Linked DNA regions of Arabidopsis thaliana. The protein of the gene in region 3 interacts with the protein of the main gene of each other region in a pairwise test. Each region holds a gene or a part of one and is shown on either strand. Other genes may lie near its edges.

Region 1 (5,970 bases), on a different chromosome or scaffold from region 3:
AACCACACCATGGAGAACACCACAGAGCACACAATCCACACCAGTTGGCCAAATGGTCTTAACAAAGCCAGCAACGGTTAGATTCAACGGTCTTGATGCAGAGCCGAGGAAAGATAGGGTGATTCTCCGTCAGCCAAGGAGTAGCAGGACCAGTCTCTGGATATGGTGTGTTGCCGGTTTCTGTTTTGTGTTCAGCCTTTTGCTTATCTTTTTTGCGATTGCCACTTTGATAGTGTTTCTTGCGATTAGACCAAGAATACCTGTTTTCGACATCCCAAACGCAAACCTACACACGATCTACTTCGACACGCCGGAGTTTTTCAACGGCGATTTGTCCATGCTGGTGAATTTCACTAACCCTAATAAGAAGATAGAAGTGAAGTTTGAGAAGCTTCGGATTGAGCTCTTCTTCTTCAATAGATTGATTGCAGCGCAAGTGGTCCAGCCATTCTTGCAGAAAAAGCATGAGACGAGGTTGGAACCAATCCGTTTGATCTCTAGTTTGGTAGGCTTGCCTGTAAACCACGCGGTGGAACTCAGGAGACAGCTGGAAAACAACAAGATAGAATATGAGATTAGAGGTACCTTCAAAGTCAAAGCTCATTTTGGAATGATTCATTACTCTTATCAGCTGCACGGGAGGTGCCAACTTCAGATGACCGGTCCACCAACCGGAATCCTGATTTCTCGTAATTGCACGACGAAGAAATGAAAAAGAATACGGTACAGTTCTCTGAGTCAGTAGTCATCTTCAAAGTCTTTAGCTTTGGCATGTTTATTCAACTATATTTCTATTTGCTTACCCACAACTTGTATAAAAGAAAAAGACCTAGTGAACTCTATCCAAGAACCGAGATCGGAGTTTGTACTATTTCCAAGATAAAGAAACTGGAAAGATATTATCTTTCTATGAAGCAGATCCATAATTGATCCACAAGACACAGTGCCAAGACCAATGTTGTATTTTAATACAGTTCAACATACCTGAACCACCAGAGAAAAGAATTAAGACCAAAAGCAAAAGAGGTACAAGCATTAGATGCCTATGTTGGTTCCCTTTAGGACTTAAAGTAATCAAAATCAGTAAAACACACAAGAAGAAGCTTAACCATTTTTTAGCATATACCAACACAGAGGATTTTAATATTCAAAATCTCAACTTTGATCAAAAAAAAAAAAAAAAAAAAGATACAATGGTCTCAGGAAAGAAAAGTTGCAGAAATTGGTTGGCTAAAACCACAGCTGGTTTCACTAGACAGGTATGTAAAGCTGATTGTATATAAAACCCCACAAGTCTCAGCTAATGGGGCTTTAAGAAACATCACATGTCTAACGGTAGACTGAAACAGGGATCATCTGAAACTCCTTTCACATTTTTTACTTATTTTATCAGAAAGAAGTAAAGCAACCAAATCTCTTTCTTTTTTTCTGTAGTCCCTCAAACCAACTTGCATCACTTGATTAGACAATACCAACTTTGAGTATCTAGATTCTAGAAGAATTAAAAAATGAACAAGAAACTTCGCATGTCTAATGGTGGCATGAATATAGTACCATTTTTCTCCCCAAATTCCTTTTTCGCTTTCCCTAGGTGCTGTGATCTTTCTAACGATTCAAACTTAGCCAAATGGACAACAACCTTGAGCATTCTCTCTATTCATCTCTCAAAGCGTAGGTACAAAACTTAATATCAGGAAACCATATCAAAACAAAAAAGACCTTGACCCTCATAAGATAAAGGGAAATCAGTTTGAAAATGGTGAATCATGTGGCGATTGGCGAAAACATTATTTATATCCTTCAATATCTATCTCTCATTTAACACAATCCTGATCGAGCTCTTAACATTATTAGAAGGTCCAGAGAACAATATCCAAAGCAAATGGACCAAAAGAAGTAAAAGAATCAGGACCTGACTTCTTCCAATGTTACACCCTCAAACCTCAGCAGGAGTCTTTGCCACAATAGAGAGAGCATGTAACCCGCTCTTCAACTCATCTTGCAACAAGTCATATATCAGCCTATGTCTCTTGACCAAGCTTTTACCTTGGAAAGCATCCGAAACGATTCGCAAGTTGAAATGTGTTTCCCCATCATCACCAGCACTACCTCTAACAGCGGCATGTCCTGCGTGCTGGTAAGAAACATCTTCAACTTCTAACTCAACAGGATCTAGCTCCTTCTCCAATTTCTCTCTTATCCTCATCCCTCTACTCCCTAAAGCAACAACATTTGACCCACTCTCAGAATCATCAATCTTTTCTGTTCCCAAATCCTCAACTAGATCAGGTTTAGACTCCAAATCCACCTCCGGAACATTAGCTTCGTCCTTAGTCTCAGGAATAGACACAAAGCTGGATTCTGAACTCTCTCCAGAACTTGAATCTTCCTCACCTTTGACTTCCAAATGAAGAGCCTTTTTCTGCATCAGCTTAAGCATATTAAGTAATCCATTGTTTCTAGAAGGAGACAGACTCTGCTGCAACCCGAGAAGAACAGCGAAATCAGGTGTTATCCTCAAAATCTCAGGGACAGGTCTTCCAGATAAACCCTTGACTAATAGAGCAGCTAACCCTTTAGTGAGAACCGAATCAGAATCAGCTTCATACACAACATTACGTTCCTCATCAAAGAAAGCCCTAACCCAAACCTGAGAAACACATCCTTCTACTTTATTCTCCCTCGTCTTGAATTGAGAATCGAGAGGTGTCAGATTCTTCCCGTAGAACATAAGCTGCTCGTATTTAGCCTTTGGCTCTTGTACCGATTGGAAAAGCTTGACGATCTCTTGTAGCTTCGGTGGAAGCTCTTCGATTGGTTGAAGGTCTCCATAGCTCGACGGAGATGATGAAGCCGATGGTGGAGGAACAATCCCGGTTGAAATTTTCTGGAAAGTGATGATCGTCCGGCGAAAGGAAGGAACTTCCGACGGTTTTAGTGGTCGTAGAAGAAGGGTTTTGGCCGGATAATGGATTGAAGAAAACAAGGTCCGTTTGAATGGGATTAAACGAAGCGAGGAAGCGCAACAAGAAGAAGACATCGCTGCTGCCATAGTCGCGAACTTGAAACTTCGAGAGAGACTGAGATGATGATGAAAGCTCTCCTTCTTCACTTTTTCTGAGTCAAAAACCAATACCGCCAATTAGGTAGTAACCGGGAATTAAACCGGGAATGTACCAAAATCCAAAAATTAGATGTAAAATCAATTGTGGGGTTGATTATGAATAATTAGAAAGTATACGACTCTTTTCATAAATAAGGAAAAGAAAAAGATATCTAGATTTTTTTTGTTTTGTTTTGAAGCATCGTCTTCCTGGTTCTTCGTTCTCTTGCGTTCGTCACCTCAAACACGTCCGCCATTATTATATATCAAATCAATCATGTCCGAATCCAGCTTTTACCAATGTAAGCAATTAAATTAAATTAAATAAAAACACTTTTATCAAATTTAATCAAATTAAAAAACTGTCCCTTTCTTATCTGAGATTCTATTGTTTCTGTCTACTTCCACAGAAAGAAACTGCATCTCCGTTTTTTTTTCTGATTTGAGGCTTTCCTTAGATCCTTGAGAGCAAAACTGAATCTGGGTAATTTTAAAAATCTCATTTTTACGACTTATCTCTTTTGAACGATCTGTTTTTTCATGTAAGTACGATTTCACCTCGAGATGATCGATCATTGCTCTTCTGGTTCTTCCATGTTTGATTAAATGTTATAACTTGAGGGTTTTGTTTCTTTTGGATTGTTCTCGCATTTGTTGATCTATGGTTATCAAAAGAGTTTGGATTTACAGTTTTTGGTTGCAGCTGAAATTTTTCACTCTTTTCTTCTCTGTTTTGCTGGATAAAGTTGGATTTGATTCACATTGTTGTTTAGAATCTAGATGAAGTTGTAAGATTCCTTGTATTGTGTTTGCTTATGCATGATTGTGATAAAGATTTAAGTTATTTTACCAATGTACAATGTCCAGAATTGTCGTCGGGATGGGTTCTAAGTCCGTTGTTGACATGATCGAAGCTGCCTCGCGGGCACATTTTTCTGGTTTACACGTGAATGGGCACATGAATGGGTTGGAACCAAGTGCACTTAAGGAAACCACTTCTGCATCAGAAGATATCCAAAGACAGCCTTTTGTAATAGGTGAGTTCTGCTTTTGCTTTCATTTTTGATTAATATATGGTCGTGGATAAAAAAAGCTTGACGAATGGTCTTGATTGATATGTTGTGACTTGAATTGGTTAGGTGTTGCTGGAGGCGCAGCATCGGGAAAGACTACTGTTTGTGATATGATAATCCAGCAACTGCACGATCAGCGTGTTGTACTTATTAACCTGGTAATTTTGTTTTGCTAATAAAGTTTCATAGAGCTAAGTGATAACCACCGGTTTGATTTGTGTTTCGAATGTATATGAAGTCAATTGAATTCCACACAATTTAGAGATCTAAAAGGAGAATATTACCAGCTAATAACTTATATATGGCTGAAGTTTAACATTGTTCAACCTTGTCACCATTGTTTAGATATTTATGTCAGTCTATTTATCTAATTCTCAAATTCCTTTGGCATCATGATAAACCACAAATTGCTCGACTTAATATCCTATGATAATGATTTTTGGCAGGACTCGTTCTATCATAATCTGACTGAAGAAGAACTTGCTAGAGTTCATGAATACAACTTTGATCATCCAGGTGAGAATATATTTGGAGTGTAATTGCTTTCTGTAATCTACTCTTGTCAATACATAGTGTCATCAGGAGTAAAAAATCTTTCCTAGCTTCTTTGGCCATTTTTTTTTTTTTTATAATACTTCTTTGGGATAATTAAGGCATAACTAACAGCCATATTATTCAGTGATATCTTACTAATTGATGTATTCTCTTTTATTAAAGCAATTTCATCCCTGACAGCACATTACTAGTTGCTGGGAGTTATGAGAAAAAGTCTTGTGCATTACTCTTTGTCATCCACCGTTAATTTCTTTTTATCCAGGATTCTAATGAATTGTTGTTGTTTCTGTAGACGCATTTGACACAGAGCATTTATTGTCTTGTATGGAGAAATTGAGGCAAGGGCAAGCTGTAGATATTCCAAAATATGATTTTAAAACTTACAGGAGCAGTGTTTTCAGAAGGGTACCACCTTCCCTCTCAGCATCACTCATTATCATATTGTTACTTGATGTTTATAAATTTGAGATTCCTTTTTCATTTTCTCACTGCCTCTTTCTGTAACAATAGCAATTTCTTAGATGTCACCACTGGCTTTTATCTGGTTGGGGATTTAAGGGGAGATCAATTTAATCTTATTTGATGCTAGGATTTTGAAAAACATTCTGCAGGTAAATCCTACAGATGTAATAATTCTTGAAGGGATACTTTTGTTCCATGATCCACGCGTCCGAAAGTTGATGAACATGAAGATTTTTGTTTGCACAGGTAATTTGTTGCCTCTTCCCGTTATAATTATTGTAAACTCTTGTTTCGACTACATTCCATTTCCCTTTTGTAGATTCACTTGGCTTTTTTTTTCTACAAAATTTCACATGATGGAACAACTTCTTATGCTTTAAGATTTTGCTGTTTCACATTGCTTATTTTGTTTTCTGCGTAGATGCTGACGTTCGTTTGGCAAGAAGGATAAAAAGAGATACTGTCGAGAATGGTAGAGATATCGGCACAGTACTTGACCAGGTTAGCCCGTCTTAGTATTGTTACTGTATATATTATCATCAAGAACAACAAGAAATGGTTTACCTCTTGCATTTTAAATATTACATTGCTCTGATCTGTATGTTTTTTTCTCATATTAGTTCGGCGTTTTCAAATCTATATGTTTCTACCCATATTTTATATGATGTCAACCTTTTGATGCAGTACTCAAAGTTTGTGAAGCCTGCTTTTGATGACTTCATTCTTCCAACGAAGAAATATGCAGATATTATAATCCCTCGTGGTGGGGATAATCAT
Region 2 (5,804 bases), on a different chromosome or scaffold from region 3:
GCTTCGTAGAGCTCTTCTTTTATATGAGAAACTGTAATCTCTTCTTGTTCTTGTTCTTGTTCTTCATCTTGTTGTTGTTCATTTGGGGAGGAACAAGAACTCTGTTCTGTGACTTTCCCGATGAACATGGGTCTGAGCCTAAATGAGTTGTCACTAAAACTCAGCGTTTTGCCATTAGAACTGGTGAAAGAGACTAATACTTTCACGTTTCCTGTTCTTCTCGAGATTGCTCCTCGTGAAGCTGCCATTGATGGTGGCTGGAAAAGGTTACTCGTCATTAGCAGTTTATACACCAGAATCTCTAAACCCAATGGAGCTTAATAAGAAGTAGAAGAAGAAGATGGGATTTGAGGAAAAAGAGAGAGAGATAGATTTATGGGGAGGAGAATGGACAGTTTTTTTTGGTTATTTTATCCATCTTTTAGCATCTATCTCTCCCCCCCACCATACACTGCACTGACTCTATTATAAAATTTAGCCAATCCCATTGGTCTTTTTTTTCTTTTTTAAGATGGTGTCATGGTAAAATTCTCAAAAAAATCTCCATCTAAATTGAGAAAAACCCAATTTTTGTTATATTTTGCAACCAATTGCATATGTTTTAAAAAAGTGTTTACACTTCATCAAAAGCAGTAATCGGAGTACAGTAACCACAAAGTATCAACATAGTAAATGCTCTGTTCTTTGTCACAAGGCTTTTAAAAAACAGAAATTCAGGCATCTTTGGTTAAGGTTGCAGAGTCTTGTGATGGTGGCTTCCATTGTTGTGGAGTCTGAGCTTTCTTAATAGAGAGAGCATGAATCTCTTTCATTTCTTCTTCTAGCGCAGCATTCACCATACGATGCCTCTCCAGCAATCTCTTCCCTTCGAATTGTTCAGAGACAACCTCCACTTCAAAACTCGAACCACAACTGCAATAAACAGTTTTGCTGATATTAAGAACAAGAAATTATGCCATAAGCCAGAGAATCAAATGTGTATTGACAATCCGGTACTTACCCTCCAGATATGTCAATGACTTCCTGGTACACACAAAAACAAACAATGTCACTAAAAAATTCTAAAAGCTAAAGATTGAAACAATTGGAACACATGAATCAAGTGAAAAGGGAAATAGATTGACATTGAAGTAACTTCAATCTTCACATGTTATAAAGCAAAGAAACTATACACATCCTTGGATCTGCTTTTTGAGTTCTAGTTCACAAAAAACCATGACACAAATAAAATTTTCCGACAAGAACACTCACTACTAAGTTGCTAATACATCAGGAACACTACGTCATCAAATCCTGAGCTCAGTATCACACTGCATCAAATTACACCTAACTACGCAAACAACCACCTTTTATATTCTGTTTCAGAGCTGAAAGACAACACATAGTGATGTATAATCTAGATGCTGAGATTATTACAATACATAGTACCTCTTATGATCCAACTATCAAAGTGTATGATTTTGATCAAAGTGAGCAGGTCAAAAATCTCAAATTTGGCAATTTTCCCAGATCAATTTGATGATTAGGGTTTCAAAGTTTCCCACAAAAGTTTCAAACCCTAATCAATAGATGAAATTGAAAGAAGAAAGCAGTATAAGAACACTCACGAGATGAATTGGCTTAAGTTTCGAAGTCAATGAAGCTTCGACTTGCTCCTTCGTCACCATCTCTCTCTCTCTCTCTCAAACAAAAATTGAAATCCCTAATTACTGTACTCATTGAATTAGAATATTAAACCATACGCTATTTGGTTTTGGTTTAGCGAGAGTACGGTTTAGTTTGGTTCAATTGGGATACCATTCGGTTATCGACAATTCCAAAATAATAACTAGGGTTTAAGCTCTGCTTTCCTTTACTTCGTCTTCCTCACTCCTAAAACCCTCTCAGTCTCTCCATTTCCCGGAGCAAAAATAGCTCTCCGACCATGAAGTTTGGATCTTTACCATCCAAATCCCTTCTCTTCCGCCTCTCTTCTTCCTCCACAACCCAATCTCACCGTCGAACAATTACCCTTTTCATCACTAACATTCATTCCTCTCCATTCTCCACCACAACCACCTCCGGCTCCAATTTCGTCTCCGGATCCAGCCATTCTCCCTCTCGACGTCCTCAGCAAGACGAAGAGTCCCGATCCGTTAGGGTTTCGGTCTGGTGGGACTTCCTGAGCTGTAACTTACCTGTAGACACCAATGTCTACAAAGTAGCACAATCAATCACCGCCGCTATCAGAAACAGCGGAATCAAAGGACCAATCACAATCACAGCCTTCGGTGACGTTTTACAGCTCCCCAGATCAAACCAAGACGCTCTCTCCGCTACAGGAATCAGTCTCACTCATGTTCCTAACGGTGGTAAGAACAGTGCTGATAGATCTCTAATCACAGATCTTATGTGTTGGGTTTCTCAGAATCCACCACCAGCTCATCTTTTGCTAATCTCTAGTGATAAGGAGTTTGCAAGTGTGTTACATAGATTGAGGATGAACAATTACAACATTTTGCTTGCGAGTAAATCATCAGCTCCTGGTGTTTTGTGTAGTGCTGCTTCTATTATGTGGGATTGGGATGCTTTGATTAAAGGAGAGTGTGTTACTGGTAAGCATTTTAATCAGCCTCCTGATGGTCCTTATAACTCTTGGTATGGTCACTATAGGATTCCTCTTCTTGATCCATTTGCTATTGCTACCACTACTGAGCAATCTTCGTCTAGTGTGAAAATCGAAGAACTATCCGAGTCTGTGAATTCGAATGCTGTTGTTAACCTTCGTCCTATTCCAAAAGAAGTTGTTGATAAGATTCGTTCGATAGTGAGTTTATATCCCAAGGGGGCTGCCATTACAGAACTACGTGCTGAGCTGAGTAAGAGCAACTTGGCTATTGATAAAGATTTCTATGGACATAAGAAGTTTTCGAAGTTTCTTTTATCCATGCCAGATATCTTACAGGTTACTACAGTAAGTGAAGGCTTGTTTATGATTCGGGCTGTTACCGAAAAGAAGCCTCCGATGCGGCTTGATTCTAGTCCTCGTTTGTCTACTGCTGTTGATCAGAAGATTAAAGATAAGGAAACTGTTAATGCTCCATCACCAAAGCTAATTAGCGATGTAGAGCTTGCTGCTGAAAGAAGAAGAGATGGCTTACTTGGAAAGAAGCAGGAAAAGGTATTGGAGAGTGATAAAATTGTTAAAGAAGAATCATCAGAGAGTTCTCAAGACCCAATTCTGGTCGGCCAGAAGGATGTTAAGGCAAATGTTAAACCCGTCGAGACGAATCAAGTCGCTCTTGTTGCGTGGAGTGATTCGTCCATGGAAGATGGCTTTTTTCAAAAGCTAAAAAGACTGTGGTATGGTTCACCTGAGATGGAATTAGAGCATCTCCCAGAAATGAAGAGCGTTTCTGGAAGTGGAGACACACATAGAGAGGATAATGACTTAAAGTCATCAAGTCAGGGAAGTGGAAACAAACATAAAGAGGATAAGGACTTAAAGTCATCGAGTCAGGGAACTGTGCCCATGTCTCAAATCTCACCTTCTTTCGTTGCTGAGTCGGTCGATGAGGTAAAAGTTGGAGCTGATGACGTAGACAGTAAAGATAAAGATGCAAGTCCAGGCTTTTTAGGTCGCCTTTTGAAGAGTTTCAAGTTCTGGGGAAAGAATACAAAGTCTAGCAAAGACTCTAGTGGGAATCAGGAGCTTGTCAATGTTGATTCTCAAGTACAAGACATATTTGCAAAAGAGTATTTTTGGAGTGATATTGAATCTTTCATTAATTCTCCAAGAGGCTTTGCTATAGTATCTCACTCGAGGACAAGGTGCGTACATTCTCTTCCCTCCTGATTTGGCAGGACTTTGATTAGATATTGATTAATATGTAAATCTATCTTAGGTTCAGAACTATTACAATTGGTTCTTGCATTAGCCATTTGTTGTCTTTTTTGGGACGAGTATTCAGCTAATGCTGTTCCGTCTTAACCTGGTCAGGGAGGTGATGGCTAAAAATGTGCAGGAGGAAGGGCCTTCGTGTCTCAGACTGCTCGATGAATCAAGCATGCTTCATTTAGTTACTTTGCTAATATCAGAAAAGAAATGGATTGAAGAAACCCCATCTTCTTCTTTACCATTCAGAATCATCAAAGGATCTAGCCCTGGCCACCGTCATGCTTCAAACGGTTTGAGCTCAATCTTCTCGGATTCTTCAAAATCACAGTGGCAGAAACAAAATGGTGAGAAAAGCGGCAAGAACGTTGCTCATGCTGGAGTTTCTGTTGGTTCTGTGGACCGGAAAGAGCTGGAAAGATACAAAAGTAATGCAATAGCGGATTGTCAGAAGATGATAAAGAAGATAACAGAGGAACACCCTGAAGGGTATAGCCTGATTCGTTTCAGGAAAGACTTCTTAGAGGAGTATGGGTACCATTTAGCGGTTGACAAGCTCGGTTACGACAACCTGCAGTCTCTGATTCGAGTCATGCATGGAGTGAGAATAGCATCTGGATACATCTTTCCTTCAACTCCTTCACCAAATGCCAAGTCAAAAGAAGATGATTCGGACTTGGCATTCGCAGAACTTGGTCCAGTTTCTGATACAACAACTACCCACCCGACGACCAAAAAGCTTCCAGTATATGAACCATCACTCTCAGAGGATGAAGAAGATTCTGGTTCAGAGAGAGATAACCCAGAGAAGAAGAAGCAACAGATGATGAGTAAAGAAGGTAAAGAGAGCTCGTTATTGCAAATTCTGGATTCTTATTACACAAATAAAGATGGAGAATTGAAGGAGAATCCGGTGGAGAGGAAGCTTGTAAGCAACGGTAGAAAGCAAAAGCCTACAAAGACGTATTCTTTTGTGAAAGATTCAGAAGTCTAGTGAGTCAGAGGGTTGTTTACTGTTTAATTAACAATCTCCCGAGGAATTGAGTGTAATTAGTTGAAGCCGGTTTTGGGTTTGGTCTATGGTAAACCGAATCCGGTTAAGGAGAAATAAGATTAATATGGTTCAAACTCTTTTCAGTGGCAAGTCGCATCGTATGCATTTATTGATAGGTTTTACTGTATTACGTGATTTTTTAAATTAAATTTTGGTTCTTAATTTCAACGTTGATGTGTAAAGCACGGAATGAATGAATAGAAATAGAAAAATAAAATGTACTCCATAAAAGATGGAGTTATTTAAACATTTTATTCGATTAGATTAAATGAAGAGTTTAAAAGTGATAATGACATGCTTTTTGGTTATAAGTTAGGTATTAAATAGTTAACAAACCAAAACTAGATTTGGTATATAATTTATTGTTGACCATAATGTTTATACAGTTTTTTTTATAAATAAAAAATGAAAATTTCGGGGGTTTCAATTTGTGCCAGTAGTTTCATTTTAGTAATTCTAAAAAAGTTTATAATTGTTGTCAGAAAGATGTATCTAAGGAGTAATTATTAAATAGGAGTAAGAGAAAAGTATTTAATGAAATGTTGTGACATACATGTGGAGTTGCTTGGTGAATCATCTTTGTCACTTGAGTCTTCTCAATGGACACTCGATTAAAAACACACACCAATAAAAGTACTTAAGAAATGGATAAAGAAAAGAAAATTGATCTTATTATTTAAGCCTAATCTTGTCTTGTTCCCTTAAAATATACCAATATTAATTACCATTAAAGGCTATGTATACATATTTTAATACAATAATTAAACAAAACAGCTCATGCGTATCCACAATGATTCGGTCAAAAAGATTATAAAAAAATGCGTCTCCTTCTTCATCAACCAATGGACCTACGCCATTACGACGGGTCTTAAGGCC
Region 3 (6,586 bases):
CCGTATCTTTTTACCTTTTAGAGCTTTAATTATGCTTACTTGTATGGGCTGTAAAAAATTATTAGGCATCGGCCATTTTTATTTTTAATGCAACAAAATCCACTAACTTCTGCCTAAATTTCAGTTTGTTGTTTCTGGTTGATACAAGTAATTATTATTGTTAACAAAAACATAGTTAAGTTCAAAACTTAGATATTTCAAAAATTTCGATGAACAAACTTATGCTATGGTTTATGATGGCCAAACCGATTCGATCAAGTTTTTTTTTTTTTGTATTGGCACTAGTACTACCACTCATCTTCTTTCTCTTCTTAGCTTGTTGCCCTTTTTGACATTCGTCTCTTTTTCTCTTCATTGATTCCTTATCATGCGATTTCCCAACTAAAGACGGTTGTTCTCTCTGAGCAAAACTCTTGGCGACATGACCCAAGTCAAGTGAAGCTTCTTCACCACGAAAATGCTCTTGAGCTCTCCCTTGTGAGACACGAATGCACTCTTCGCTAGGTTCTTCATCTTTTTTGGTGTAAATGTTAAATTGTTCTTCATCTTTGGCTGTGAATAAGACGGATACAAACAAAGAGAGATTTTTACCATCAGAGTATCAATCAATCACAGCGAGAGGGAACACATTGAAGAGAATCGTACCTAAAAGTAAAATCTACTAACTTCTATAAAATTTCATTTTCATCGACTACATTTATTTCTATTGTTGGTGCAGGAATTAGCACCTCCGACAATACCGGCTTAAACCAGAGGAATTACGAATTAGACTGAGATTGTAATCAAACCGGGGTATCCCGGTTTAGCCTGTTAATGAGCCAAAATAAGGAGGTCATTTGCCGACTTTAGCCCCAAGTAGGGAGACCGCCTAGCCGACTTCCTAATTCGAAGAAAAAGAAGTTTTCTCCTTTGAAAATAGCAAGTCTTCGAAGATAAAGGAAATTAGAAGATTCAAGCCTCGAAGAATTGAAAGTTTAACATATCTTTTAATCGTCTTAATAATGTATAAATAGGGGGAGGGGGGAGGGAGTTGTCCTCTATTCTAAGGATCCGAAACTTAATAATAAAACCCTAGTTTTCTTCATTGTTCTTGAGCAAAACCCTAACTTTGTCTCTAACCAACTTTGTTCTTCTTTTCATTGAGCCTTTGGTCACTAAATAGCGAGAGAGAGTTAAGTAAATTTGTTTATCCCCTTTAAACAAATTTATTGTGTGATTTTCAGAATCAACACCTATCAACTTATTTTACAGTCTGACTTATATTTTTTTATTGTTTTGTTTTTATGTAATCGAATTTTTGAGACCGTTGACTTGTTGTTTTATTTGTTCATTTAATTTTTTTCAGTTTCCAAAAAAAAAATAAAAAGAAAATACAACCCATAAACTAACCTCGTCATCATCATATTTTTCAATTTTCATGAACGTTTGTTACTCATATAAGTTGTAACAAATGAATACCATAGAATATTTGTGTTATTTTTGAGATATTCATCCTACAAATGAGAATTTAGTACTTAAAATGAATATTTTGTGTTAGTTCACCCAAAGATTATGTCAAAGAAGAACAATAATTCTCTAATAAACGTGCTACAAGAATAAGAATGCTACTAAATTAATCAATTAAATCATTTAACGTAACAATAGTTACTTAACTCCATTTCCAATTATGTTTTGTTTCAACATATATATTTAAAGGGACAATTAGTGTAAAAAAAAAAAAAAAAAAATCATTGGTTAAATGACCACAAAATAGGTGAATTTAGTGGATGGTTATGCGTTTTAAACCTACTCTTAGATTTGTATAGAATCTGTAACCTTTTATAAATGCGGAAAACAGAAAACGAATCTGTAACTATGGAAGAGAATCCAAGCATGTTTTCTCTATAATGAATGTTTGGAGTTACAACTAGAAATAGAGAAGAAAATCGGATGAAACTAGTTCAAGATATTGGCAAGTTCACCATTTTCATACATTGAGGTCAAAATATCACATCCTCCTACAAGTTCTCCTTTCACAAATATCTGTGGAAACGTTGGCCAATTGCTGTAGTTCTTAAGCGTCTCCCTTAGCCCATGATTATACTCATCGTCAAGAACATCAACAGTTTCATAATCAACTCCTTGGCTTTCAAGAATCCCAACAACTCTCTGTGAGAATCCACATTGAGGAGCACTCCTTGATCCTTTTATGAAAGCTACCACTTTGCTCTCTTTCACTAAACGGTCAATCAGTTCCTCCAAAGGAACCGTGAGCTCAACATGGCGACCTGGAGTGAGACGGATATCGGATTTCTTCCTCGGAGTTTGTTTGACAAATGTGTTGTTCCCTGACTTATTCCCCGGCGGAACTTTTCCAGTTACTTTTATATGTTCTTCTATCCATAATTTCCATGCTTGTGTTAAAACTGCTTTATCTGGTTCTTCTACTATTCCAACCTAGCAAAACAATGATGAAATCAGTTATGGAAGATATATCAACAATACCAAAACTTGTCAATATCCATCACATGAGCATAAACAAAGTCCTATTGAGTCAATGGAGCAAATAAACACTAAAATAATCATAACATAAGTAAATCATAAGCAAAATATAAGCAATAAGTGACAAATAAATGATAGAAAGAGGAAAAATGTAAATTCTTAAGATAATAATACAACCCATAAAAATGTAAATTTCTCAAGAGCAATCTTTAGATTTGACTGTTGTAAGCTGATACAGTTAAGGATCATGGACACAAAAAAAACAAAAGCTCTTGTTATTAATTAAAAGAACCTGACACAGAATGGTAATCAAAATGCCAAAGAGAATCAGTTCTCTCCATTGGTACAAAACCGATATACCTCTCAAACCTCGACAAATCTCGCCAATGCGCACTGTCCTGTATCTATAGAGTAGAATTTCCCTAAAAAACTAATCAAAAGAAAATGCTAAAAAAACAAGTCCTAACTCCTAAGTAACATATACAAAATGAACTATTGATGCATCTCCTAATCATAATGTGTGGTAAGTGTTGTTAAAAGAACTCTTACCAACAACAGAACCAAGAACTTCATTAGCTCTAGTTTTGCAAACAATAGTGATCCTAATGATATGAAATACTATCTCTGGAACTAAAGTGATGAACTTTTGTAGTATTCATTTACCAAAACACTTCCCAAATCTATGAACAGTAATAAACAAAAGTCAACCACAACAAAACAAAGAATCCTTCGTTATAGTAACAGACATGCTACTCCTCTATATGAAATCATGGATAAGTACCTTAACGGAGCCACAAAGCTCCGGCACAGATTTGAGATGAGCAGAGACACTCGCAGCGATGTTCCGAGAAATTCCGACGAACTGAAGCTCGTCGCTCTTATCGTATACAGCGTATACACCGGAAGCGGACGGGATTGAATCAGCCTCTGTGATTGGAAGCAGCTCCGTCTCCGTTAGAGATTTGACGGCGGAGGCGATAAAGAAGGAACGACGACGAGACGGAGCTGTGTCACGGAGTGTGAAGGAGAGAGATGGGAAGGAGAAGGATGGTGTGAAGCGTGAATAGAGGGTGATCACAGGGGTATTTCGAGAAACATGTGGACGAACAACACGCGGAGAGGCTGAGGCGTGCAAGGAGGAAGAAATGGTGATTGCAGCCATTTTTGTCGGAGCTGAGAAAAGTTATCGGTGGAAAATGATGAGCTCTTTTATTTGACATAGGATTTTATCCATTGGGCCTGAATTGGACTGTTATTAAGGCCTTATGATACTTGGGTTTTAAATACCATAATTCGGAAAAGTGGGACCCGCTTTAGTTTCTTTTTTCTTACACATTCCATACTTCAGTCTGTTATGAAACAAAAGGAACATTTGTCTAGTTCACTTCATGATCAAGCCAAATCTACCAATGTGACCCAAAAACATGTGTTTAATCCGGTAAACAGATCTCAGTATGGTTTAAAACAGAACCAAAACAAACAAACAAAATTGGATTTCGAACATAATGCTATTTCTGATTAAAAATTGAATCTGAATCCAAGTTAAAACAGTATGTAATCCAAAAACTGAAATCCATTATATTAAAACCGGTTCTCAACTGGTCTCTTTGTATCTCATTATCTAAAAAGCTTTATAAAACAATAAGATTTTGGCACAGCCTAATCGCTTTCTCAGGGCACAGAGCCACTCATATTATTACCCTATCTACTAGGTTCCTGCTTTCGTATACTTCTCAAAATGCTCTCTTTGTTCCCCTGCAATCTGAAATTCAATCATTGACATCATAAGAAAATGTTGTAACAGAAGTGATAAGATCATTGAGTTGTTACATACATGTTGGATTCTTACGTCTTGCCATTTCTGATTGTGGTTTTTATGGAACAACTTCATCAGAGATAACAGCCTTGCCCAGATAAACCTGTTGCATCTCCTCTTTCCAGATCTGCATCAACTTCATATTTTTAATTTGTTTTCCTACAAAGAGAAATTAACTTGTGTGAAGAATAAATATATTTCATTCCATACCGTGTCACGGAACTCCACCCTTATGTGTGGCACGTTTGTTTTGTGAATGTCGTTTCCATCAGGTCCTCTTTTGTAGTAATCTTTTCCAATCCAGTGCGACTGGAACATCTCAACAAGTTAGTATTATTAGTAGATCGGAACAGAGACATCTTGTTCATTCATACTATGGGCCATGTTGATATAACAAGTACCTTCAGGGCGTGTGAGAAACCTGACTGGTACACTGAGTTACGAGCTATCTCGCACAGGTCACACGCACTCAGCTTCCAAACCTGAAAAATCCAGTTATCATCTTCAGTTAATACATAAATATAACTAAAACCTAGAAGAAAAGGATGTATAGAGAGAAATTTCATTGTTCTTCGTGTTTGCAATTGCAGAAGATCAGTATAAATCATTTAAAGGTAATAACTAATAAGACTTTTAAAAATATAATCAACTTTTCAAGGCCTATGATGTGTGGCAAGACTGCATAATGGAAAGATTATGACTTACTGATGCAGCTATGCTATACTCTTCCACGAGAGGTTCTTTAGTTAAGTGAATCTGAAGGGGGTCATCAGTAGACAGAGAAACATTGAGACCTCTTAAGAAAAACACAGGAAACGGGTTCCGGTGGTAATCTAGAAACAAAGAGTTGTTGCTCAGTGGTGACATGGCCAGACCAATCTGTCAAAAGAAATGTCTTCTTAGAACAGAAACAATAATACATATGTAATACATGCAGGCAGTCTCCACAAACCTGGGCGAGGTAGTACAGATACTGAAGCACAGGAGACTTTCGCAGATTGATTCCATGTGCGATGCTATGGCATGTTAGAAACGTAGCAGCCAAGTGGTCAATGTCACCAGCCTGAAATTTGTAGACATGTTAAAATTCCACTGAACTGTAACTGAAAACTGTTTATCTAGCACAAAGGAAGAAATAACACACCTCTCCAGAATGTGGTCGTAGCGTGATAGTAGTCATGCCCTTTGACTCTCGAAGCTGAAGAAAAATAGTTACTCCATATTACACAGTTTTGAGAACACCAAGTTAGTTACAGAAGCGACTAAGAGGAATGGTACCTTATTTAACACATAGAGGTTAGCATAACAATAGTAGACATAATACGAAAATGCAGGATTGAATGCGTTAGTCCATTGAGCTGGAGTGGGCATGTGTTTTGTGGGACGTCTTTCAGGTTTGCTTTCATCATCAACCAAATCAAATCCAACAACCTGAAATAGCAAACAAGAGACAGCAACCAGTCAAACCAACTCTTTATTGTGTAAAGACATGCGGATTAGAGGTTATTTGAAGATATGAATGCTAACCTGCTTCAAAAAAACATGGAGCTGAGGATGGGAATCAGGATCTACCGTGGCTTCAAACAGAGGAATGAATATATTGTCCAGGATATTCTGGAACGATGTCACAATACCCATGTCCTTGTAAATGTTGTACAAGCGTGGGAGCTAGTGAGCAGACAAACAGAAAACAAGGAAAATATAGCTCAGTTAGCAGTCATGTTACAAACACACGGAGACAAAAAAAACACATACACTCATGGAAGGACATGGAGCACACAAGTATCAAAGAGATGGCTAACCTGAATTAACCAGACAACATTCTCACTGTATAGATCATTGTTCACAATCCAACTAGCGAGTTGGTCCCACTCGCTCATTTTTCTGCCATATATAGATATTCTGTATTCAGCCATCTGCAGTGTTCAACGTAGACATCAGGAAAAACAAAACAGAGCAATTATGGATCTGCTTTGGCAAGAAGATTTCTTGACACAGAATTTGAGCAATGCCATGATGTTTTTTGGAACTCAAGTCAATGCGCATATGTGAGGGAGTGTGAGTTTGATATGGTTACTGAGACTAAAATCCAAGGATTTTACTACTATATCTTTTCCTAATATAACAAATGAGTTAAAGTTTAATGCAGCTATAAAGCATATGCAACAAGAAATAGCAAGCTTTGCATTTGTAAGGGGGAATAGGAGGAGATCCATTACCAAATCCTAAGTCTCTATGTATTCCCAGTAAATCATTATATCAAAAGCTTAGTTAGAATGGATTTGATTC
Region 4 (6,273 bases), on a different chromosome or scaffold from region 3:
TCGTTGCGAGCGAGTAAAAATACACGCATGATTCTGTTTGGAAATTTGGAATCCAAATCGTTTGGTTGTTTCGATTTTCTCGCCGAAGATTTTTGCTTTAGAAGTAACAAAATGATAATTAGTGAGCAAAGTTAAATATTATTAACGGAATATATGTTATTTCCAAAAAGAAAAGTCTCATCCTCATTCTTTTGAAAATAGAAGATTTGGGAAATCGTCATAGTAATATATTATTTCTTTGTATCAAATACATATCCATCTACTATCCGGTTGTTGACCCTTAAAGCTTTTGAAGACTACTAGAATAATGCAAATACCATATGTCCATATCCATCCTTTTCTTTTGTTTGAACTGAACATTCTAATTTTGTAAAAGAAAAAACCTTATGTTAATATCACCGTAGGCAAAAAAAATATCTCATCATATTAAATTTTTATTATAAGATTATACATTCTCTCGTTGTAAGAGTTACTCCAATTGCAAGTGTTGTATTAACTAATAAAAAGGACGAAAGTAGGAAGCTTATAATTAATTGATGTTGCATAGTACTGGTATATTGTTGATGAATATAACAAGTATGAACATTAATGCATGAAACGGGGTATTTTGTCTTGAACTCATTAAAGGCAATGTGAAAAGAAGATGTGAGGTCTCATTTTGAAAATTTATCTTCTAGCTTTGTCGATTTTAAATCTATGAAATGAACGCAACATATAGAAATTTCATGTGGACAACGACATTTAGACGGTATCTTAATTAGACCGATTAATTAGTAATATACTTATATATATAATTAGTGGTGATTATAAGTTTACTTATCCACTTGAGAATTTAAACAATGGGCAATACCTTAATGTCGAAAGAAGCCGTCCCCACTTCGTGTAATGAGTTATGGGGGAGAGATCCTGTTAAATCGTCAAATAAAACAACTTAAGAACTAGAAATTGACACCAAAAATCATAAAGAGAACGTTGAAGAAGTCATTTATCGTATCCAGCTCATATTTCCTAGCTAAGATCAAATCAAGGCCGTTGAAAGGGCTTGTAAGAAAATGTCGAAGAAACCGTGGGGTTTAGAAGAAAGACAAGAAATAGAAGAACAATGATGTTAAATTGCCTATTTTGGTGTATAGGAGTTGTCAAAAGAGGAGAGAGAGAAGAAAATTAGGTCAAAATAATGAGCACTAAAAATGGAGACATGTGTTGAGTAACTATTACAAGAGCGACTTATGCTTCCTTATGGCAATGATATCCAAACCAAAGTGCAACGCTCCTTTTTTGCCCTAATTTCGTAAAGTCTCTCTCCTTCTTCGTCCTTAGGAAAAACCCTAGAAATTTAATCCCTTGTTCTTGATCTTGCTTTTTGAGTAACCATGATTTTGACCACACACTATTTCTTCTATCTTTTGTGGTCTATAGGATTTTGCTTTATATGTGTTTCTTGTATTGCTCCGTACGTACGTATACGAATTTAAATGGTTATAACAAGGTTTATATAAACTAGCACAAATGAGTCCATGAAATTTGTTAGCGAAAAAGGTAGAAATATATTGAGTCTTTAAACGGCAATATATATAATTTTGCTGCAAAACTTAGCTTTAATCATGATCTAATGATATTTTCTTTAATTTCCTTTGCCAAATTAATCACATGCACGGATTTTTGGCAAGTTATGTGTCGAATTCTTCCATTCACACAACACTAAACTTAATTAGAACTCTAGGAAATATTTTAAAATGACAACTTTATCGAAAAAAATTTAGTTATGAAAACAATTCCAGAATTAAACATGAGCTATATAATTTAAGATAAAATGAAGTAATATTGATATGTATGTAATAACATATCTGATTGCGGTAAAAAAAAACATATCTGATTAAATTGTTCATGCAGGCCCATGTCACTATGATGTCATCACGTTTTTATTTTCACAATAACTAATATATATTCAAAAAAATAGTTTTGTCAGATTAAATTTTTTTTGGTGGTCAGCTTTCTCCAACCTACTAAACTAGTTTGGAATGTTCTCTTCTTTATTTTTCTTTTTCTTGATTTCTTATGTTTTTTATTTATGGAATTTTAAGACGGATTGTTTAGGTCGTTTCTCTCTTTTCTTGTTTTCTAAAGTTACTTTTGTAAACTCATCTCCTCCCAATTAGACAGTCAATCATATAGTTATCTTTTAATATATGTCTAGTTGATAAAAAAAATGAAAAAATACTGGTGGTAGTTCTACTAATGTTTGTGTAAAAAATCTGATATTATGAATCTAATCAATTTCTTTGATCGTATAATGTGGGTTAAATTTAGTAATTTTTTACATAAATAAGAACTGTAATGTTGATGTATATTGGGGAATCAGTATATTAGCTTGGGTAACTATACTTCTGGAAATACTTGAAGATTTAACTATTTGCAAAATTATAATTTAGTCCCGAAAAATACAGACGACGGGACACGACAACATATAAGCAGGTTTGAATCTTGGAAAATTTTGTATACATAACCTATATAAATACTAATGTTCTGGTTGGGTTCAAAAGCCTTTTCAAAAGTTCCATTTTTTAAATTCAAGGACATTTTACATAGGAAATAAGTTGAGTCATAAAAAATAATGGTTATTTTGTAAGGTTTTTTTTTTGATTAAAACGCACATATTAAGAAGTTAGTTTTTTTTCACTACCAAATATCAATTAATTTAAAACCATGCAACCATTCATAAAACAATACTATTAAAGAATATAAATAATCACAAAATATTAAATACACTTAAAATTTACATATAAATTTACAAAACATCTAATTAATTGAAACAGAAAGGAAAAGGTAAAATATATCATAAAATGAGACATATATCCTATAAAAAAAAAATGAGGCATATGAAGTAAATAATAAGAGACATGCATGTAAGCATTCGGTTAATTAATCGAGTCAAAGATATATATCAGTAAATACATATGTGTATATTTCTGGAAAAAGAATATATATATTGAGAAATAAGAAAAGATGAAAATGGAAAATGGTATGTATAAAAAGAAAGGAGTGTGCGACTCTTGTGTCTCGTCCAAAAGCAGATCCAACCACAGCCCCAAAAGAAGCATGATGGAGCCTCAGCCTCACCATCTCCTCATGGATTGGAACAAAGCTAATGATCTTCTCACACAAGAACACGCAGCTTTTCTCAATGATCCTCACCATCTCATGTTAGATCCACCTCCCGAAACCCTAATTCACTTGGACGAAGACGAAGAGTACGATGAAGACATGGATGCGATGAAGGAGATGCAGTACATGATCGCCGTCATGCAGCCCGTAGACATCGACCCTGCCACGGTCCCTAAGCCGAACCGCCGTAACGTAAGGATAAGCGACGATCCTCAGACGGTGGTTGCTCGTCGGCGTCGGGAAAGGATCAGCGAGAAGATCCGAATTCTCAAGAGGATCGTGCCTGGTGGTGCGAAGATGGACACAGCTTCCATGCTCGACGAAGCCATACGTTACACCAAGTTCTTGAAACGGCAGGTGAGGATTCTTCAGCCTCACTCTCAGATTGGAGCTCCTATGGCTAACCCCTCTTACCTTTGTTATTACCACAACTCCCAACCCTGATGAACTACACAGAAGCTCGCTAGCTAGACATTTGGTGTCATCCTCTCAACCTTTTTCATGTTGATATATTATATATAGATGCATAAAGATTCGATCCAAGATTGTATGGGTGTTTTAATATTATTATTCTAAGATATATGATGTACAATTGTGTACCAAGTTTCTTTATCTTGATATCATATGCATAAATAATTGGTGAATAAAAAGAAGATATTGATTGTAAACAAAAAAAAGAAGATATTGATTGTTAATTAGGGTTTGATCATTCTGTATGAAAGCTTTGGCCTGCAAATTAATTTTCGATATATATATATATATATGGAGAATATATATCAAATACTTTTTTAATTTGACTATAATTTGTATCAATTATCTGAATCTGATGAGTGTAGGTTATATATGGATTAGCAAAAAAGAAAACAACCATTATTACGCACCTACATTAAAAATCATCCACCAAAGAAGAAACCATCCTCAAGAGGGTTCCCATATTGGAGAATAATGAAAAATTTAAGAAGAAAAGGGTCGAGATTTCGACGGACAAGCATTCTGATTATTACAAACATATTTTAGAGAAATTTAGAAAGAAAATTAAACTAAAAATTAAAAAGAAGCAAACTGAGATAACTCTCTGTCTCAATGGAACGCCGGCCAGAAGTGATCATCGTGATTTTGGTTACCATCTTGATAAGGTCAATCGAGGAGTGTATCCGTTTCAAACACCACACGTCCACTATATTTCGCCAAGTTAAATTGAAAGGAAGATGAACAATCAAGAGATGTGGTAGTTATTTTGAATTAAGCATATCCAAAAAGACCCTAGGCGAAGCTGAGAGATCGCAAGTTCGAGTGACACTTGGAACGAAACTAATATTACATGATGTGGTTTCGGGCCTAAAGGAATTACGGGCTTCGGCCCAGAACCTCCTGATATTCAAAAAAAAAAAAAAAAAAGATGTTTATAATAATGATCTTTGAAATTAAACCTCTACATTTATCATAATATTCCTAAATAGTACGTAAATAAAAAACATGCAACCCATGCATATCCAGTCTTAAGTTTATACATATAGATAAATCTCAAACCATACAAATACCATTGTTCTTGTGATTTTTTACTTCCATTTCCTTTTTCCTCCAACGGTGTCATATAAAGCTAACAAATAACTCGTGATTAAACGGACATTTCCAATATGGGCTTTTGGGCCCATAGTGATATGGGTCTCCTTCCGATATCTTTGACTGCGCGTGCCTCCAAAGTTGCTGTAGAGAACAGAAAGAGGCCTTCGATCCTGGCTTTGTCCAGACAAAAGCTGCCTCATCTACCTGGAACTTCGGTCGAGGTAGTGGTGAAGGGGGGATATGTAATCTCAGACAACTCCACAGGTGACAAAACTAGACGTAATCCTAATGGGGACAGGGTCGGAGCTAGAGATAGCTGCAAAGGCTGGAGAGAAGCTAAGAGAAGAAAGAAAAGCAGTGAGAGTAGTGTCATTGGTGAGTTGGGAGCTGTTTGATGAACAAAGAGAAGAATACAAAGAAAGTGTGTTACCTTGAGAGGTTTCAGCAAGACTGAGCATTGAAGCAGGGTCGACCTTTGGGTGGGAGAAGATGGTTGGCTCCAAAAGAAAAGCCATCGGTGTAGACAGTTTGGAGCAAGTGCACCAGCCAATGTGCTCTACAGGAAATTTGGACTCACCGTGGATACGGTTATTGCAGCCGCTAAAGACTTTTGTTAAGCTAAGCTCTCTTTTACACATCATAAAGACATTTTCTACGTTGTTCAAGTGTGCCTTTCCACATACATTTACCCGGACTCACTCACTAGTCACTATAAATCAATATCGTTATGTTTTTATCTTACAATAAGTGAATTTGAAGAATAAAATAGAGCTTTGATGGATATTACTATTATATATGCGGTCTAGTAGATGCGTGTTGTTATTATATTATTCCTTGAAGATTACTCTTTGCTTTTTTGTACCCCATGGATAAATGTGCCTTGGTATTAAGTTGCAAATTTGATTTAATTAATCCCTAAACATGTTACTAGTTAGAGTTTGCACGTGACGATCTTGGGCAGCACCTAAACATGTATTTGTGTGCGTAATTTTGTAATAAGTAAGTGCATCGAGTTTGATGAATCAGTATTTGAATGATAATTCGATGAAAGTACATTTGTTGCCATAAGAACCCTAAAGTAAGATCCATAAGGATGATGAAAGCTTCATTAATAATAAAAGTAAAGTTAATCTACCTATAATAACTAAATTAATCAAGAGTGAAACTAAATCTGTAGAAAATTAAATGTAAGAGATAGAGACTAGAGTGATTAATTAAGCTTTGACTATCCCTTAAATCCTCATAATCTCTTCTTGCTCTTTGACCATCTTCTTCTTCTCTGTGTGTGTGCATTTTCGAGAGAAAAAGAAATAAAGAAGGCCCAAAAATAGAGAAACAAAAATCTTTTCAATTTGATGATCTTCCCTTATTATTCGGAGAGCCTATAAACGCTCTCACCAAACAAACCAAAACCAAAACCAATCCAAGAAAAAAAAGAAACCTCAAAGAAGAAGAAGAAGAAGATTCTCTCTGTCGAGGTAAATATGAAGCAAATGTCGCATCTTGATGATATTCCTTCGACGCCTGGCAAGTTCAAGCCCT

Evidence for each region.
Region 1: the proteins of CXIP2 (region 3) and CPSUFE interact in a two-hybrid assay, tested with the Arabidopsis thaliana proteins (one study listed by BioGRID).
Region 2: the proteins of CXIP2 (region 3) and AT5G09830 interact in a two-hybrid assay, tested with the Arabidopsis thaliana proteins (one study listed by BioGRID).
Region 4: the proteins of CXIP2 (region 3) and IND interact in binary tests that used the Arabidopsis thaliana proteins (3 or more experiments, as listed by UniProt).

What each region holds. Positions count from the first base shown.
Region 1 is NC_003075.7:13,380,520-13,386,489, forward strand, and holds CPSUFE (chloroplast sulfur E), read right to left. Parts: upstream 3,123-5,970; 5' UTR 3,053-3,122; coding exon 1,937-3,052; 3' UTR 1,679-1,936; downstream 1-1,678. Other genes in the region: AT4G26490 (Late embryogenesis abundant (LEA) hydroxyproline-rich glycoprotein family), read left to right, coding at 1-712; UKL4 (uridine kinase-like 4), read left to right, coding at 3,984-4,140, 4,243-4,334, 4,623-4,692, 5,024-5,136, 5,343-5,439, 5,615-5,694, 5,878-5,970. UniProt on the Arabidopsis thaliana protein: Participates in cysteine desulfurization mediated by NFS2 in chloroplast and NIFS1 in mitochondrion. Activates the cysteine desulfurase activity of NFS2.
Region 2 is NC_003076.8:3,057,103-3,062,906, forward strand, and holds AT5G09830 (BolA-like family protein), read right to left. Parts: upstream 1,724-5,804; 5' UTR 1,668-1,723; coding exon 1,608-1,667; intron 1,024-1,607; coding exon 1,001-1,023; intron 913-1,000; coding exon 714-912; 3' UTR 501-713; downstream 1-500. Other genes in the region: AT5G09820 (Plastid-lipid associated protein PAP / fibrillin family protein), read right to left, coding at 1-278; AT5G09840 (Putative endonuclease or glycosyl hydrolase), read left to right, coding at 1,925-3,810, 3,980-4,868. UniProt on the Arabidopsis thaliana protein: May act either alone or in interaction with glutaredoxin as a redox-regulated transcriptional regulator, or as a factor regulating Fe-S cluster biogenesis. The GRXS17-BOLA2 heterodimer binds a labile, oxygen sensitive iron-sulfur cluster.
Region 3 is NC_003071.7:16,029,412-16,035,997, forward strand, and holds CXIP2 (CAX-interacting protein 2), read right to left. Parts: upstream 3,759-6,586; 5' UTR 3,644-3,758; coding exon 3,263-3,643; intron 2,437-3,262; coding exon 1,936-2,436; 3' UTR 1,774-1,935; downstream 1-1,773. Other genes in the region: FAC1 (AMP deaminase, putative / myoadenylate deaminase), read right to left, coding at 4,356-4,424, 4,508-4,606, 4,699-4,779, 5,003-5,176, 5,250-5,360, 5,442-5,495, 5,576-5,728, 5,825-5,965 and 1 more. UniProt on the Arabidopsis thaliana protein: May only reduce GSH-thiol disulfides, but not protein disulfides. Participates probably to the maturation of iron-sulfur proteins and to the regulation of the redox state of the BOLA proteins.
Region 4 is NC_003075.7:39,937-46,209, reverse strand, and holds IND (basic helix-loop-helix (bHLH) DNA-binding superfamily protein), read left to right. Parts: upstream 1-3,012; coding exon 3,013-3,609; 3' UTR 3,610-4,545; downstream 4,546-6,273. Other genes in the region: GAE3 (UDP-D-glucuronate 4-epimerase 3), read left to right, coding at 6,216-6,273. UniProt on the Arabidopsis thaliana protein: Transcription regulator required for seed dispersal. Involved in the differentiation of all three cell types required for fruit dehiscence. Acts as the key regulator in a network including SHP and ALC that controls specification of the valve margin.